Neurospora crassa OR74A: one gene and its partners. The protein of the gene in region 2 interacts with the protein of the main gene of each other region in a biochemical or structural test. Links are inferred from orthologs where the notes say so. Each region holds a gene or a part of one and is shown on either strand. Other genes may lie near its edges.

Region 1 (4,943 bases), on a different chromosome or scaffold from region 2:
TGAGGTCAAAGCCCATGGGTGACATAATGACAACCAGCGGGAGCGTTCAAATACTCCCGGCAAGCAAAGAGTTCAACAACTCGGTCTTCCTTGTATGCCATACGAGTTTCCAGCAATGCGCAAAAGCCGCCCCATCACTCAAGCCCAGATGAGATAGCATACGATCTACCGGCCACGAACCCAATAGTAGACGGATGTTTGATCATGGCGAATTGAGCTAACAACGTGTGAGGCTGATCCAACATATTCGGGTTTACCTAAAGCTTCAGTTCAATGCTCGTACTCATGGTCCAATAGCCGTATCTGCCTGAACCGGGCCCTTAGGTAAGGAAGACGGATTTCTCAGACGACAGAAGGTGGTTATGAGAGGTGTTGACGTAAGGAGCGTGTCATTCGAGCATGACTCCCAGTCTGTGCCAACACACGGATAAGAGAGGACAGGGACAGAGCTGGTATGAAGCAGTTGGGGATATGTGGCGCTGAGGAGAACTCGTCCACCGACTTCAAAGCATCAGAAGCATCATGTCCTCGGGCTTTGAGAGACTATTGACCCGAGAATATGCGCCGGCTTGTCCTCGCCCTGCTTTTCGGTGCCGGTAGACGTCCTCTCTATCGATGAGCACAAGGGATGGGCTGAGGACCTTCGCGATGCTTACCCAGACATGATTGAGGTTGTCTGTGGAGTCTGGCCACATACACTAGCTATTTCTCGGCTGCCTGCTGCGATACCGAATAGGAGGTGGACAGGAGAAAATTCCCATCGTAGGAAGTGTTGCACTACCCTATTAAGTATTGCCTGATGAATGGTTAGAAAGCCCAAGGCGCGCCCATTTCTCGGGGCAATGCAGGCGGCCGTGTCCAGGTTATAGGCTTGAAGGTAAGTGAGCTGAACTGGTGGCAAGCGTCGACCTGATCCCGAAGTAGAGTCGAAGTGAAACAGAATCACTACCGCTCTCTCTGAAGGACCTCCAGGGTGTTTTTCCGGTGACGCTGGCCGTTCTCAGCCCGGGTACTTCTACGGACGAGACACCGCATCGGCCTCGACCATGACAACCTAAGGTCGATGCGGGGGTCGGACCTCAGCTGTCAGCGGGGTCATTAGGTACATAGACGGCAGCCGAGCAGCCTCAAAAGAGGGGCACCTGCCACCCTGAAAGACGCAGTTGGCGGGGGAGCTGTAGTGTACTCCAGTGCTCAACGATACCATCCAATCACAAGCCGACTTGACCATCGAAAGGCATCGAAGGTCCAGAGCTTTCCATTCCCTTTCCACGACAGAAGGCCGCCCGCCCAGGCCGCTGCCGTTTCCAGTCATGTCGCGCCCTCTTTCTCCCCGTGAATAAATCTGGTGATCCTTCAGCCTGATTCCCGACGAAGCCTCTTTCCTGGGCACTGACATCCAATTCCGTGATACCCAAAAGCAAGATTCTGTAACGCACCAGTTTGCACTCCCCGTCGCATTTCTTCTATCCCGAGATACCCATATCACCTTCAGAAATCATTAATACAAGTAACCACACACCATAATGTCGACCGCGGACGAGCTCAAGGCTCTTGGCAACAAGGCCATTGCCGAGAAGAACTTTGACGAGGCCATGTAAGCTCTACCGCCGATATCACATACATCCATGTCAGCTATCCACTGACACTAGCTGTCCCTTTACAGTGACAAGTTCACACAAGCCATTGCCCTCGACCCTAGCAACCACATCCTTTACAGCAACCGTTCCGCCGCGTACGCTTCCAAGAAGGACTGGGACAATGCTCTCAAGGATGCCGAGAAGACCACCGAGATCAAGCCTGACTGGCCCAAGGGCTGGGGCCGCAAGGGCACAGCGCTCTTCGGCAAGGGTGACCTGCTGGGCGCAAACGATGCTTACGAGCAGGGCCTCAAGATTGATCCCAACAATGCTGGCATGAAGAAGGATTTTGAGGCTGTTCAGCGCGCCATGCAGCAGGAGGCTGGCGGCGGTGACCTCAGCGGTGGTATTGGCCAGATGTTCGCCGATCCCAACCTCATCCAGAAGCTCGCCGGCAACCCCAAGACGGCTGCCTTCCTCTCCGACCCGGCATTCATGGCCAAGCTCCAGGCTGTCAAGCAGAACCCTTCGAACGCGCAAGATCTCTTCTCCGACCCCAGGATGATCCAGGTCCTTGGTGTCCTGATGGGTGTAGACATGGAGTTGAGGGACTCGGACGTGCCCCCTGGAGCCCCCCAGGAGGACGTCAACATGACTGATGCCCCGGCCCCTAAGCAGGAGACGCCACCAAAGCCCAAGACGCCCGAGCCCGAGCCCGAGCCGGAGCTGGATGAGGAGGAGTTGGAGAAGAAGAAGGCCAAGGAGGCGGCCGACAAGGAAAAGGCCCTTGGTACCGAGTGCTACAAGAAGCGCAACTTTGATGAGGCCATCAAGCACTACCAGGCCGCTTGGGACTTGTACAAGGACATTGTGTACCTCAACAACCTTGGCGCCGCCTACTTTGAGAAGGGCGACTACCAGGCTTGCATTGACACCTGCAAGAAGGCTGCCGAGGAGGGTCGTGCTCGTTATGCCGACTTCAAGGTCATTGCCAAGTCGCTTGCGCGCATTGGTTCTGCCTACGAGAAGCTGGGTGATCTTACCAATGCGATTGAATACTACAACCAGAGTCTGCGCGAGCACCGTACCCCTGAGGTCATCAGCAAGGTGCGCGCGGCTGAACGCAACAAGATCGAGGCTGCCCGCAAGGCCTACATTGACCCCGTCAAGGCCGAGGAGGCTCGTGAGGAGGGTAACAAGAAGTTCAAGGAGATGGACTGGCCCGGCGCCGTTGCTGCCTACTCCGAGATGATCAAGCGTGCTCCGGATGACCCCCGCGGCTACAGCAACCGTGCTGCTGCTTTCATGAAGCTCCTCGAGTTCCCTAGCGCCCTTGAAGACTGCGAGACGGCCATCAAGAAGGACCCCAAGTTCATCCGTGCTTACATCCGCAAGGCTCAGATCTACTTTGGCATGCGCGAGTACAGCAAGTGCGTTGACGCCTGCACCGAAGCCCGCAAGATCGATGCCGAGTACCACAATGGCGCCAACGCTCGTGAGATTGAGCAGCTGGAGCAGAAGGCCTTCAACGCCATGTATGCGGCTCGCGAGAACGAGACCGAGGAGCAGACAAGGGAGCGTCTGGCGCGTGATCCTGAGGTATGTCATATCGTAATACCAGATTCACTGTTTGCAACATATACTAACATATTCGCGTTCAGATCATGGGTATCATGTCCGATCCTGTCATGCAGGCCATCCTCCAGCAGGCTCAGTCCGACCCTGCCGCTTTGGCCGAGCACATGAGGAACCCCAACGTCAGGACCAAGATCCAGAAGCTTATCGCTGCTGGCGTCATCCGCGTTGGCCGGTAAAACAGAACAAAAAAATGAACGAAAGGGGATCAAAAAGGGGCATTGGTTTGGCCGGGGATCATAGCATTGGCGCTTGGGAACGAAGGTCGGAATGGCGTGGGTTTCTTGAACACACATTTACTCCCGTTTGAATGGGAAATCATACCATCCCTTAATGAATTGCATGAGAAATGACAATTTATCTTTATCACTTTCTTGTACAGTAAATTCCATTCATGTCATTAGGGTTAGGGAGACGATTTGTCAACATTTCGTGTGTAGTTTCACGAGCGCACAAGGGCATGGAGTCTCTTTTTGCCCGCTTACTTCTTGGAACTTTGTTGACTCCATGTGTCCAACCACGAATTCGACACCGTAGTAGGCGGGAGACTCCGAGTACCTCTTGGTTTTTTTTTTTTTTTTTTTTTTCTTTTTTTTTTTTTTTAAATCCGCGTTGAGCGGGATGCCGAATACTAGGCAGTGTACTGACACATGGCAAAGCTTCCCCTTCAAATCGCCATGATATTGCACAACACATGTCGGTATCTGCTCGTCATCTTCCTGAAAGGGTATCAAGAATGTATCGCTAAGAGCGCTCATCGCTAAGCCTAAACAAAGTCAGCTATAATCGGCCGTGGAATGAAAATGAAAACAAATAAACAATCTAAAGCTCGTAACGCAACGCAACGCAACGCAACGCAACGCAACGCAGGCGCCGAAGCAACGCAGTATCCGCCCTGAAGCATGGCCGCCATGCCATGCCTGTGCACTGCATGTTGTCATGCTCCCGTTGAACGACCGAGCAGCCAACGCTGCATATAAGGTACCTCTTCACCCGCCTACAAAAGCACAACAAAAAGCCAAAGCCTTTTCCCGCTGACCTCGTCCATCCCCGCCAGCAGTTCCAGTTTCAATTTTCCTCCCTCCCTTTCCTTCCACCTCCTCAAATCTTCTCCTCCTCCTCCTCCTCCTCCACTACCTCCTCGTCATTCCCAGCACCGACAGTTGTTGTCACCAAACCCCCAGGAAACAGCCTTCTAACCTCCTCTCCCTCCCACCTCACAACCCTCACCCCCGGCTCCCCCACAAGCGCCTCCTTACACCTCCTCCACCCGTCCTCATCAACAGGCTTCGTCGCCTCCTCCACCACCACCGTCTCAAACCCTTCGTTATGTGCATCCATCGCCGTGCTCCACACGCAATAATCGGCCGCCAGCCCCACCACATAGACGTGCGTTACCTTGGCCTCCCTCAACATGTGTGCGAGGCCCGAATCGCTCACGCGGGGTGAGGTGAAGGGGTCGTAAAAGGCCGAGTACATTTCGACAAGGCGGTTGGTTCCCTTTTCGAGGATCTGGTCGATTTTGGAAACGTCCAGCTCGGGGATGAGGCTAGCGCCGGGGGTGTCGGCGATGCAGTGCGAGGGCCAGAGGCGGGTAGTGTAGGACTCGGAGGGGTTGTGGGGGTTGTGGACGGTGGTGGTGGACAGGAAGGGGATGGCGGCTTTTCCGGAGGAGTCAGGGCAGCAGGGGGATGGGGAGGAGGCGTGGTTGTGGTTGGAGGCGAAGGA
Region 2 (5,782 bases):
GAAGGTCTCACGATGGGAAACAGCCCAGCCTGGTGTGTTGCCCTAGTGATGCCCGGGACGGGAGCAAATAAACATTGCCCCTGTTCAGCCTCGGTAGCACCGAACGACGATTACAAGCCATATCTTATGGTAACCGCGACTTTCAGAAACGGTATCCTGGCGCAATGAAAGCATCACGGAATCATGCCCTTAACGCTCATCCGCTTGCCATCTCAGGACCTAGCCCAACTTGACCTTTCCAAAGTAGAATCCCCTGCCCCCATTACTCAACCAGCACTCTTCTTCATCAACCAGCGAGTTTGCCCGTACAACCTGCTCAACCGCAATTCCCCTACCCAGGCGCGCCGTTAGCAGAACTGCCCAATAATAATCATCTCATCTCAAAGCAGGAGAAACGCACCTTTCCAAAGCCCATCTCCTCGTAGTTCCCGCATTTCCACCACTTCCCCAATCCCCTTCTGTCTCTCCCTCACCTTCCCCAACCGGCGGTGTCACCCATCTCCCGTCTCTCCAAAAGTACGGCGTGGCAATACTCCCTTCCATCACCTCCCCATCCTCGCTAACAATCAACACCTCCTTCCGATCCGTCAACGCGATCCCGTGCCTCTTTCTCGCTTCGTCGTAGATTTGGCGCTTCGTAGTCTTAAAGTGCGTGTATGCTGACTTTTTGGACCTTTGGGTGTCGACTAGGACCTCGAACGGCGTCGAGGTTCCCATCAGGCATAGACTAGGGATATTGGTACCCGGCTGGGGAAGGGAATTTGGGAAGAAGTTGGCTGTTGAAGGGACTTGTGGTGCTGGTGAGATGGTGATGCCTAGCTCTCCCTTCTCAGAGACGGTTACACGGATGCGGTTTGGGTGAGATCGCTGCTCGTCGGAGAGGGAGGAGAAAATGAAGGAGGAGAGCGTTTCGAGACCGCTGTCACCGGAGAGGAGAGAGACTACGGCGGGCCATTTGAAGTGAGTGGCGGCGCGCAGGATGCGATCGCGATGGTAAGGAAGCATGTACAATGGAGCGAACGGGGAGGATTCAGTGGGAGAGACGAAGCCGGGAAGCAGGAGAGGGTCGTAACGCAGGGTGGTGAAGAGGAGGAGGGGAGCTTCTGTCGTGGTCGCCATTGTGAGGGTGCCTGTCTTTGAAGGTTACCTAGATGGAGGAACAGCATAGACTCGATGGATTAGAGACTCCGAAGAGTGAAGGTGAATGGTGAAGAATACGATATCCGTAATGTATTATCTGTTTTATATGACATGCAATCCAGCTTGCTGACTCATTGCTCTCTGTGGTCGTTTCATGGGGAATATAATGTATAAAATCTATCAGCTTAGGTTTCCTCATACCTGATGGGCCCGATAAATCAACAATCCTTCGCGCCGACATGACCGATGATTGGTAAAAGAAGCCGCCGGTGATGGCAGGAATGAAACATGTAACAAAAAGATACAGACGGATGTATAAACTGAAATCACTGCAGTCCACGAGTCAAGTTCTGTCACAGTTGCATCAAAGACGGCAGCGACAAGGTCTGGACGGGATGACACTGCCCTGATGGTCGAATGGCGGGGCGTTCAACTTTAAAGTGGAACCACCCAAGCTGCCCTGATCCGCTTTTGCTTGACGTACATAAGCGAAGCTTACCCCACCGTGTGCGGTCATTCTTGGCGTTTATTCCATTTCCCCTCGGCTGAGTTGAGAGATATCTCAGCTACGAACGTTGATGAACTTGGGTTAATGGTGGTTGGAGTTATCTGAAATAGAGTATTCTCAGGGCTTATCTAGTCTGTGATAGTAGACAATGTAGAAGTCTTCATTCTTGTTATAAACTTCGACCTCCGTTGTTCCGAAAATCCAAGGGAAAGGGGAATGGATGTTCAGCTCCGAGTAGTCCATGTGTAAACCAACAGTGCTGAGCTGTAAACAGAGGGGATTCAGGCACCAGCTGCCCTGACAAGGCTTGGCAATAGCAGCTTGAAGGAGCTCAGACCACGTCAGCTTTGGAGGTCAACACTGTCTATTTACATCCCATTAGGCCTTAGTTCATGATATGTAATACCGTAGAGGTATGTATGGTAGTTTGTTTGCCGGTTGCCCAGCCGCCAGCCGCACTGCCGCCCGCGTCAAAACAACTTTTTTTTTTTTTTTTTTTTTCTCGCACGACGAAGATCTCGGAGCTTGAGCCCCAGCAGACAGACATTCATACGTCTGCCCATCCACCGACGCCATCGAGCAATTACCAAGCTTGAGGATTCCATTTGCTACTACCTTTTTCAGTGACTGTGCGCGTACCTGTGGACTTATTGTGGACTGCGCTGCCGTGTGCCAAGAGGGAAAACCTGTAGAGGAGTGAAGGAGTACCCCGGGCCCAACCTTGAAGTCCAGTTACGTTGCCGTGGGCTGTGGCCGCCGCCCGCCGCGCTATCCAAGTCCGGGTCCGACCCTTGCGAACGAACCCGCATCATCCACTCAAAAAAATAGAGGAACTTCACTTGGCTTGTTACTTACTGCAATTGAAGCAGTTGCCGGAATCTGTCTCTGAACTTGCCGCCGCCGCCGCCGTCCCTTCGTCTCCTCGATTACCTAGCCTTGCCATTCGGTCGTCTCTCTGCCGACTCCGATCTAGTATATACCCTGATTGTTTACCTTATCTACTAGAGGTTCTCCTACACCCATCACCACATAATAACCATGGCTCCCACCATCCCGCCGCCCTCCGTCCCCATCCCGGCGGCCACGCCCGTCACTGTCCCGGCCGACTCGTCCATCTGGGACCGCGTCTCCAACTGGGTCTCGGAGCACAAGGCTGTTGTCTACACCATTGCTGGTGTTTCCGTCGTCATCACCACCGCCGGTGTTGTCTACTATCTCCGCAAGGGATCAGTACGTTGCATCCTTCTCCCGCGCATCTTCCCGCGTCCCGCGTCTCGCTGCTGCCCTGCGCCCTGCCCAGCTGCATGAGGTCTTCTCGTTTACTAACGTTTGCGCCCACTCCCCCCAGGAGCAGAAGGAGTCCGGCCCCAAGCTCAGCAAGAAGGAAAGGAGGAAACGGAAGCAGGCCGAGAAGGGGGAGGCCGAGAAGGCTTCTACTTCCAAGACAGAAGAGGCCGCTCCCACACAACCCAAGGCCGCCGCCGTCGAGAGCGCCGACGAGCTGCCCGAGATCGATGAGGAATCCGTCGTCAGGCTATCCGAGGACGAGCGCAAGGCGTACGCCGCCAAGCTGAAGGAGCTCGGAAACAAGGCCTACGGTTCCAAGGACTTCAACAAGGCCATCGACCTTTACTCCAAGGCCATCATCTGCAAGCCCGACCCCGTCTACTACTCCAACCGCGCCGCTTGCCACAATGCCCTCGCCCAGTGGGAGCAGGTTGTCGCCGATACCACCGCCGCTCTCAAGCTCGACCCCCACTACGTCAAGGCCCTGAACCGCCGTGCCAATGCCTACGACCAGCTTAGCCGCTACAGCGACGCTCTCCTCGACTTCACTGCCAGCTGCATCATCGACGGCTTCCGCAACGAGCAGAGCGCCCAGGCCGTCGAGCGCCTCCTCAAGAAGTTCGCCGAGAACAAGGCCAAGGAAATCCTCGAGACAAAGCCTCCCAAGCTCCCCAGCTCCACCTTTGTTGGCAACTACCTCCAGAGCTTCCGCTCCAAGCCCCGCCCCGAGGGTCTCGAGGACTCTGTTGAGCTCTCCGAGGAGACCGGTCTTGGTCAGCTGCAGCTTGGCTTGAAGCACTTGGAGAGCAAGACTGGTACTGGTTATGAGGAGGGCTCCGCCGCCTTCAAGAAGGCCCTCGACCTCGGCGAGCTCGGTCCTCATGAGGCTCTTGCCTACAACCTCCGTGGTACCTTCCACTGCCTCATGGGCAAGCACGAGGAGGCTCTCGCCGATCTCAGCAAGTCCATCGAGCTCGACCCTGCCATGACCCAGAGCTACATCAAGCGTGCTAGCATGAACCTTGAGCTCGGTAAGTCTTTGTCTTCAACTGTTAACTTGGACCTGTGCTAACCCCTTTTATAGGTCACCCCGACAAGGCCGAGGAGGACTTCAACAAGGCCATTGAGCAGAACGCCGAGGACCCTGATATCTACTACCACCGCGCCCAGCTCCACTTCATCAAGGGGGAGTTCGCCGAGGCTGCTAAGGATTACCAGAAGTCCATCGATCTCGACTCCGACTTCATCTTCTCCCACATCCAGCTTGGTGTCACCCAGTACAAGATGGGCTCCATTGCCTCTTCCATGGCCACCTTCCGCCGCTGCATGAAGAACTTCGACCAGACCCCCGATGTCTACAACTACTATGGCGAGCTTCTTCTCGACCAGAACAAATTCCAGGAAGCCATTGAGAAGTTCGATACCGCGATCGCCCTCGAGAAGGAGACCAAGCCCATGTGCATGAACGTTCTCCCCCTCATTAACAAGGCTCTTGCCCTCTTCCAGTGGAAGCAGGATTATGCCGAAGCTGAGCAGCTCTGCGAGAAGGCCCTCATCAGTAAGATAGCCCCCATTTCAAACCAAATTATCATATCTTGTGTGCTAACATGAATGATTCCAGTCGACCCCGAGTGCGACATTGCCGTCGCCACCATGGCCCAGCTCCTCCTCCAGCAGGGCAAGGTCGTCGAGGCCCTCAAGTTCTTTGAGCGTGCCGCCGAGCTCGCCCGCACCGAAGGCGAACTTGTTAACGCCCTTTCCTACGCCGAGGCCACGAGGACACAGATCCAGGTACAGGAGAACTACCCCGAGCTGGCCAGCAAGCTCCAGGGCATGAGCGGTGGTCCCGGCATGCGGTAAAAGCATGTCAAGATTACTCTAGCAGCATAAAAAAGGAAGAGAAATAAAGAAAGCGATGAAGTTTTGAAACGAAGTAGAAAAGCAGTGTGTTGTACATTAAAAAGGGTTCATTTTTGGTTGTTGCTACTGCTGTAACGGTGTAAGGAGATTGAGGATGTCTGTTGGCGGTAAGGAGACGCGGGAATGGATGGATGGTGTTTTACATAGGTTGGCCTGGATGGGATAGGATGTAATGCTTTTTTTTTAATACTTCTCTCTCTTCTCCCTCTCTCTCTGTCTCTCGATTCCACACGACCTCATCACTACACATCACGATCATCGTCATCATCATCACCATCAATCCATTATCATCATACATCATGTTATGTCATGTTACGCTTCGGGGGTCAAATTGGCATTTGATTTTGGTTGAATATGGAGTTGATTTCAATGCTCTTCTCTCTATCTGCTTTTATGGGCCAACTCTACAGATGGGGAGTTCGGTATGTTCGTAATTATATGACGAATTAGTATGTTGTATATACTCACCTTGGAGTTGTAGTAAACGAGCTTAAATACGCTGAACAACACAAAACAAACGAGAATGAAGATGAAGATGAAAATGAAACATGGGTATCGATAAAAACCAACGTGGGACATCCGTACGGGGTGATTTCTCGGGGCCTCCTCCGAGTCACCTTTCATATTAAAAGTTAGACTCAAATTCTAAGCAACCCCAGAAACAGCCAATCTCAACACCCCCCCACCCCCAAAATAAAAAGAGAAAATTTTTAAAGAAAAAAAAAAACCCTTAGAAACAAGCCCAACCACCGATTCCCGGCGTCTCTTCTTTTTTTTTTTTCTCTCTTTTTTCTTTAGGTCTTTCCCACTCTCCAACTACCTGCTATTCTTCGAAATCCCAGCCACTTACTTTACTGACGATACATGCCCTCCCTCCTCTACACAGGTAAGATCAAGATCCGGCACAAACCCACCCACCATCGTTTC
Region 3 (4,998 bases), on a different chromosome or scaffold from region 2:
TCTGGCGAAATGGTCTACCCTGCCCACTTCGATTGCTACCCAGAGCTAAAGGACATGAAGGAGACGGCCGAGCTTCTGGCCAAGCACGACGACTGGCCGCGGCTCTACGACCTGGACCAGCTTGCGCGGAACGAAGTCCCTGTCTACGCGGCTAGTTATGTTGAGGACATGTATGTCGACGCGGACTTTGCAAGGGAGACGGCCAAGGCGGTTAGAGGGACCAAGGTGTTTGAGACGAACGTGATGTATCACGGAGCGTTGAGGGCCAAGACCGACGAGGTTCTGGGGCAGTTGTTCAAGTTGAGGGATGATACCCTCGATTAAGCGTGAGTGGTTGTCGGGGATTTCAGCTCGTTGCCGGTTTGGCGTGGATGTTAAGATTCTTGATGAAGACAAATTCCCTTTTGTTTTGAATTTGGTGAGATGTTGGCGAGGACGTGTGCTTTTGATACTGGTATCACACGATCGGGGAGATGAGGTTCATATTTACTTGAGTCTTCACGACCAACGAGAGGTGCCCTAACTGGCCCCCAGGAGGCTGATGTTTGGTTTGGAAAATTGACGTGTTGCTCCGGTCTCAGATGCTCAAAATCATGTCCGATTTGCCTTGAATGGCGAATTTACACGCACGCGGTCTTAAAGACTGTGAGTACACTGGATGGGTACGCTAGGAGCTCGTCGGCAGCCTATATCTAATGACCACAACATAACAACATGCAGTTCGCCAATGAAACGAAATATGGCATTCAGGAATCCTGATCATTTCGCTAACAATCCCAGAAAAAAATAAAACAAAATCCAGCTCCCCTTCCCCCTTTCTTCCTGGATCCAGGTGAGCAGCAATCATGTGATACGCGTAGCATGAGCATGTACTGAGTAGTCCCCCCCTGTTCCTTTCTCATGCTACATGACCTTCCTGTGTCCTTCATATGAAGCAAATAGCCGGGATAAGACGGTAATGCCATGTCCATGCCCTTCATCCTTCTTTTCTATCAGTCCGATATCCTCTCTAGAACGCCTGCCAATAAGACCGGGTGTTGATATATTTTGACATCGATAGAAGTAAAAGTCCACCATGTCATTAAACGCAGGTGAAATAGGGGGAACATCAAACAACGAGATTGAACCCTCTTCTTCCACCGTGATAGTGATAATCCGGGTGCTGTGTGGATAAGTGTGATCGTATCCCTTCCACCCGTGCCGACTTGATCACACTTCAGGTATTACCGGTTTTCACCTTGCATCATACCCCCTTTTTGTTCCCTTCTCCAACTCTTCGTTTTGTCGGCCCCTCAAATATCGTGCCTCGTCAAATGTGCAATACTCGATAATGAGTCGAGTAATCGGGTATATTTGCTTCGTTAAGGATGATCATGGGGACAAGAGACATGAAATGATTTAGAATCGTTGCAAATCATTCATCCTCCATAGCAAGTCTCAAACAATGTCGTGCATGGCACGCTTTGTTGGACCGTCGCTTGTGCCGCAATTTATCGTCGAATTATGGATAAGGTTGGTACTGCTTCCCCGCCCATTTAGCTCGCTTACTGCGAGGCGCACTGTACGCGTTCGGCCTGAGGCTCGTCATCCTCCTCCATAGGGCTGTTGGAGAAGCCACGGCCGGCTCCGTTGCCCTCGACGTCCTCCAATTCTGCTGGCTCGGTCATAGCATCCTGAGGGGGTACGTTGACAACAGCGGGGGCCGGGAGGTACTTGCGAAGAGCCTCGAAGGCAGCGGGATCCTGAGTCCAGTTCTTCTCGGGGAACCTGACGGAAAACTGGATATACATGTTGCCGTAATCGTGGTGGCGGTAGGAGGGCATACCCTGGCCACGAATCATCTTGACGGAGTCTATCTTGCTGTTAGCGCTTGCTGATGCATAATGTAGCCGGACAGAAGAACACTTACTGGGCGCAATAGCCTCGCCGGGCTGGATGTCGACGCTCAACCAGCGCTCATCGAGATGCTCGATGTAGATGGTTCCACCGGCAAGGGCGGTCACGAGATCGATCTCGCACTTGTAAAGAAGATCATCCTCCTGACGGGTGAAGCGGGGATGGGGCTTCTGCTCGATGACGAAGACGACGTCACCGGGGAGAATGCCAGGTGCTTGGTCACCCTCACCACGGAACTCGACCTTGGTGCCGCTCTTAACGCCACGGTCAACGTGGACGTGGAGGACCTTGCGATCGACAACGGTCTTCTTGCCATTGCACTGCTTGCAACGATCCTTCTCCTTGATTACCTCGCCTTCGCCATTGCAGTCAGGGCAGACGGTCTGGAAGCGCTGAATCATGGGGCCCATCTGCCTCATCATGATCTTGGTACCCTGACCATCGCAGCCAGCACACCGCTTGACGGCACCTTCCTTACCGCCGCGACCCTCGCACTTGGGGCAAAGGATTGACCGCTGAAGGGCCAGCTTGGAGATCTTGCCGCGGTAGATGTCCTCAAGCGAGACGTGGTGGGTGTGGTGAATAGTCTTGGCCTTCGCGGGGGCACGCTGCTGGTTCATACCGCCGAACATACCACCGAGACCGCCGCCGAAGCCACCGCCGCCGAAGAACTGAGCGAACAGATCCTCGGCAGCCATGCCGCCACCGGCACCGGCGCCACCCTCAAGACCAGCCTCGCCATACTGATCGTAGATGGCGCGTTTTTGGGAGTCGGAAAGAATTTCGTATGCGTGAGAAATCTCCTTGAACTTCTGCTCGGCAGCCGGGTTGTTGGCGTTCTTGTCTGTAGTGTTTTGTGGTCAGTAAGCCTTCTGGCTGCGCGTGTTGCAGGGAAGGCGGAACATACCTGGGTGGTACTTAAGGGCACCGGTCTTGTATGCCTTCTTCAATTGCGCCTCAGTGGCATCTGGGCTGACCTAAATATGGGCGTTAGGGGGCCTCCTCTGTCAGGCGAGGGGTATCGGTAAGCAGCAGAACTTACTCCAAGAGTCTCGTAGAGCTTTGTTTCCTTGACCATCTTGACTGTCTGGTCTAGTTATGTGAATGGGTGTGGGAAAATGTTCTGGCAGTTCGGAATGCTCTGGACAATCAGTTCCGATGACAATGACGGATATGGGAATGTGTCAGGGCCGTTAAGAAATCGTGGTCTGATGGGAAGACAGATAAGGTCAGCGGCTGCGAGGTCGTGTCGAGAATAATGGAGATGGAGTCGAGAGGAGACAATGAATGGCTGGTGCAAATGAAGAGTGGTGGTGGACAACGGTGGAAGAGAAAGATCTTTTTGCGCAAAGGGTTGGGAAAGGCCGACGGGGTCCCGAGTCGGGGTTGGTTTGGCAGAAGTTGGGGACTTCCAGGCCTCGCTTGCTGGTCCAGGGCACCGAGAAAGAAGCGCAGAACAGGAACGGACAGAAACAGGGATGGACCTACCAGAACAGCTTGAGCTACAGTGACAGCAGCAGGAAGCGTCCGAGATGAAAATAGTTGATAAGGTACGGGATTTGAGTCGCCGGAGGATAGTTGGGAGTGATAGGAGGCTTGATGAGGCGTAGTTGTAGTAGCAACACGCAAGACGGAAGATGGGGTATAACGGAATGACTGATCAACTTTCTCGAGAAAACTGTCCAAGTACCGGCAGCAGGGTTCAAATATTATCAACCAAGGCAGGGCAACAGAACCGGAATCTTCACTGCAATTCTGGAATAGGCGCAGAGGGAGGGATGCGGCGGGCGCCTTGTGCGTTGGGGGGAGGCCCGGAACGGCAAAGGAGGCTGAAGTGGGTGACTGGCCCAGTGAGTTCTTCTCCAGCCCCTCTCATGGAAATCAATCGAAAGCTCTAGAGTGTGGCTGACAGATATGGGGGCCAGTAATGAGCTACTTCCTCGTCCCGCTCCTGCAGGGTTGCGAAGAGGGCGTGCGAGGTGAGAGGTGACCAGGTTCCCCACACTCATCCCAAAGTACCTCTTTATCACTCATTGAGAGGATCTAGCCTCAGGAGATGCAGATGGAAATTCGGTTGACCTTGGAGGACCCTGTCGATCGTGGCTGGTGCGCTCCAATGTGACAGTGACCAATGCCCAACTTTCAACTTTTATTTTAACCGCACGCAATCATGCAAAACATGGTGCATATGTACCTTTGATAAAACTGTAAAAACGCACACCATCTTTACACTAGGCATTTTATCTTCTTTTTACAAGGCAGCATGCATGTCCTCTGATTGGGTTGTTGGTGATGTTGTCTCGTCTGGATCCGAGTTGGCGTCCGCTCGAAACCCTGCAGGCGTTCCGCTTCCCAACAACCCCCACTAACATCTTGAGGTCGCCTTTTGCCCCTCGGTTTTTCAACCCCCTTCAACCACTCGTCGCGGGGCAGCTTCTCATAAGGGTTTACCTTTCATCTAGAGAATTCCAGGTGAAGCAAGCGAGAATGACGTGCGCTGCTGCTTTGCTTATCGATCACCAAAAAGACTCGGAGCGTCTATCTGTGGTTCAAGAGGAGATACTCGGGATCAAATCATTAAGATCCATGAATTATATAGCCTCAGCATCTGTGCCTTACCGAGGTGTCCTAGCTCAGATGCCTTTCTCTTTTGTCTCTCTCTCTCTCTCTTTCTTTTTTCTTTTTTTCTTTTTTTCTTTTTTTTTTTTCAAATGCCTACAGTACACCGGTTCAATGGCAGTTTGATATGAAACTAAATGGTTACCCTCGCAAACAGCACCTTATCGCACTGAGTGACATCTCGGAAGTGGGGGGTCTGCTACAAAGGCTAGATAGGTATACACCAATACCACGGAGATACCAGGGAGATAAGGTGTCTTAGGTCACATATTCAATCAGCCTGATGTTCATCAAACGTGGAAAATGGGAACTTGGCGAGTTGAAGTCGAGTGACAACATCACGGTGGTACTTCTGGAAAAGTTATCTCTTCCAGACCATAGCTACCTACCTTCTGCACTCCAAAGTTCTCTCAGCCCTCTTACATAGCATACCTCTTATTTGACCTCCCTAAATTCCTCCATCATGGATGATGCTGCCGGTCT

Evidence for each region.
Region 1: the proteins of tom70 (region 2) and NCU00714 form a complex in vitro, tested with the Saccharomyces cerevisiae proteins (2 studies listed by BioGRID). The link is inferred for Neurospora crassa OR74A from reciprocal best matches to the Saccharomyces cerevisiae genes TOM70 and STI1.
Region 3: the proteins of tom70 (region 2) and NCU07414 form a complex in vitro, tested with the Saccharomyces cerevisiae proteins (2 studies listed by BioGRID). The link is inferred for Neurospora crassa OR74A from reciprocal best matches to the Saccharomyces cerevisiae genes TOM70 and YDJ1.

The regions. Positions count from the first base shown.
Region 1 is NC_026501.1:7,456,898-7,461,840, forward strand, and holds NCU00714 (heat shock protein STI1), read left to right. Parts: upstream 1-1,242; 5' UTR 1,243-1,526; coding exon 1,527-1,597; intron 1,598-1,666; coding exon 1,667-3,179; intron 3,180-3,241; coding exon 3,242-3,394; 3' UTR 3,395-3,707; downstream 3,708-4,943. Other genes in the region: nic-8 (isochorismatase family hydrolase), read right to left, coding at 4,317-4,943. UniProt on the Saccharomyces cerevisiae protein: May play a role in mediating the heat shock response of some HSP70 genes. It is required for optimal growth of yeast cells at both low and high temperature.
Region 2 is NC_026505.1:5,339,567-5,345,348, reverse strand, and holds tom70 (outer mitochondrial membrane translocase), read left to right. Parts: upstream 1-2,167; 5' UTR 2,168-2,686; coding exon 2,687-2,878; intron 2,879-2,996; coding exon 2,997-3,966; intron 3,967-4,019; coding exon 4,020-4,493; intron 4,494-4,556; coding exon 4,557-4,795; 3' UTR 4,796-5,401; downstream 5,402-5,782. Other genes in the region: NCU04246 (hypothetical protein), read right to left, coding at 220-331, 401-1,119. UniProt on the Saccharomyces cerevisiae protein: Component of the TOM (translocase of outer membrane) receptor complex responsible for the recognition and translocation of cytosolically synthesized mitochondrial preproteins.
Region 3 is NC_026501.1:6,008,807-6,013,804, forward strand, and holds the start of NCU07414 (DnaJ family protein), read right to left. Parts: upstream 3,702-4,998; 5' UTR 3,385-3,701; intron 3,105-3,384; 5' UTR 2,975-3,104; coding exon 2,939-2,974; intron 2,874-2,938; coding exon 2,804-2,873; intron 2,741-2,803; coding exon 1,910-2,740; intron 1,853-1,909; coding exon 1,545-1,852; 3' UTR 325-1,544; coding exon of another isoform or gene 1-324. Other genes in the region: NCU07415 (proline iminopeptidase), read left to right, coding at 1-324; NCU07413 (cytosine deaminase), read left to right, coding at 4,979-4,998. UniProt on the Saccharomyces cerevisiae protein: Probably involved in mitochondrial protein import. Is also required for efficient translocation of pre-pro-alpha-factor. Involved in heme regulation of HAP1, as a component of the high-molecular-weight (HMC) complex.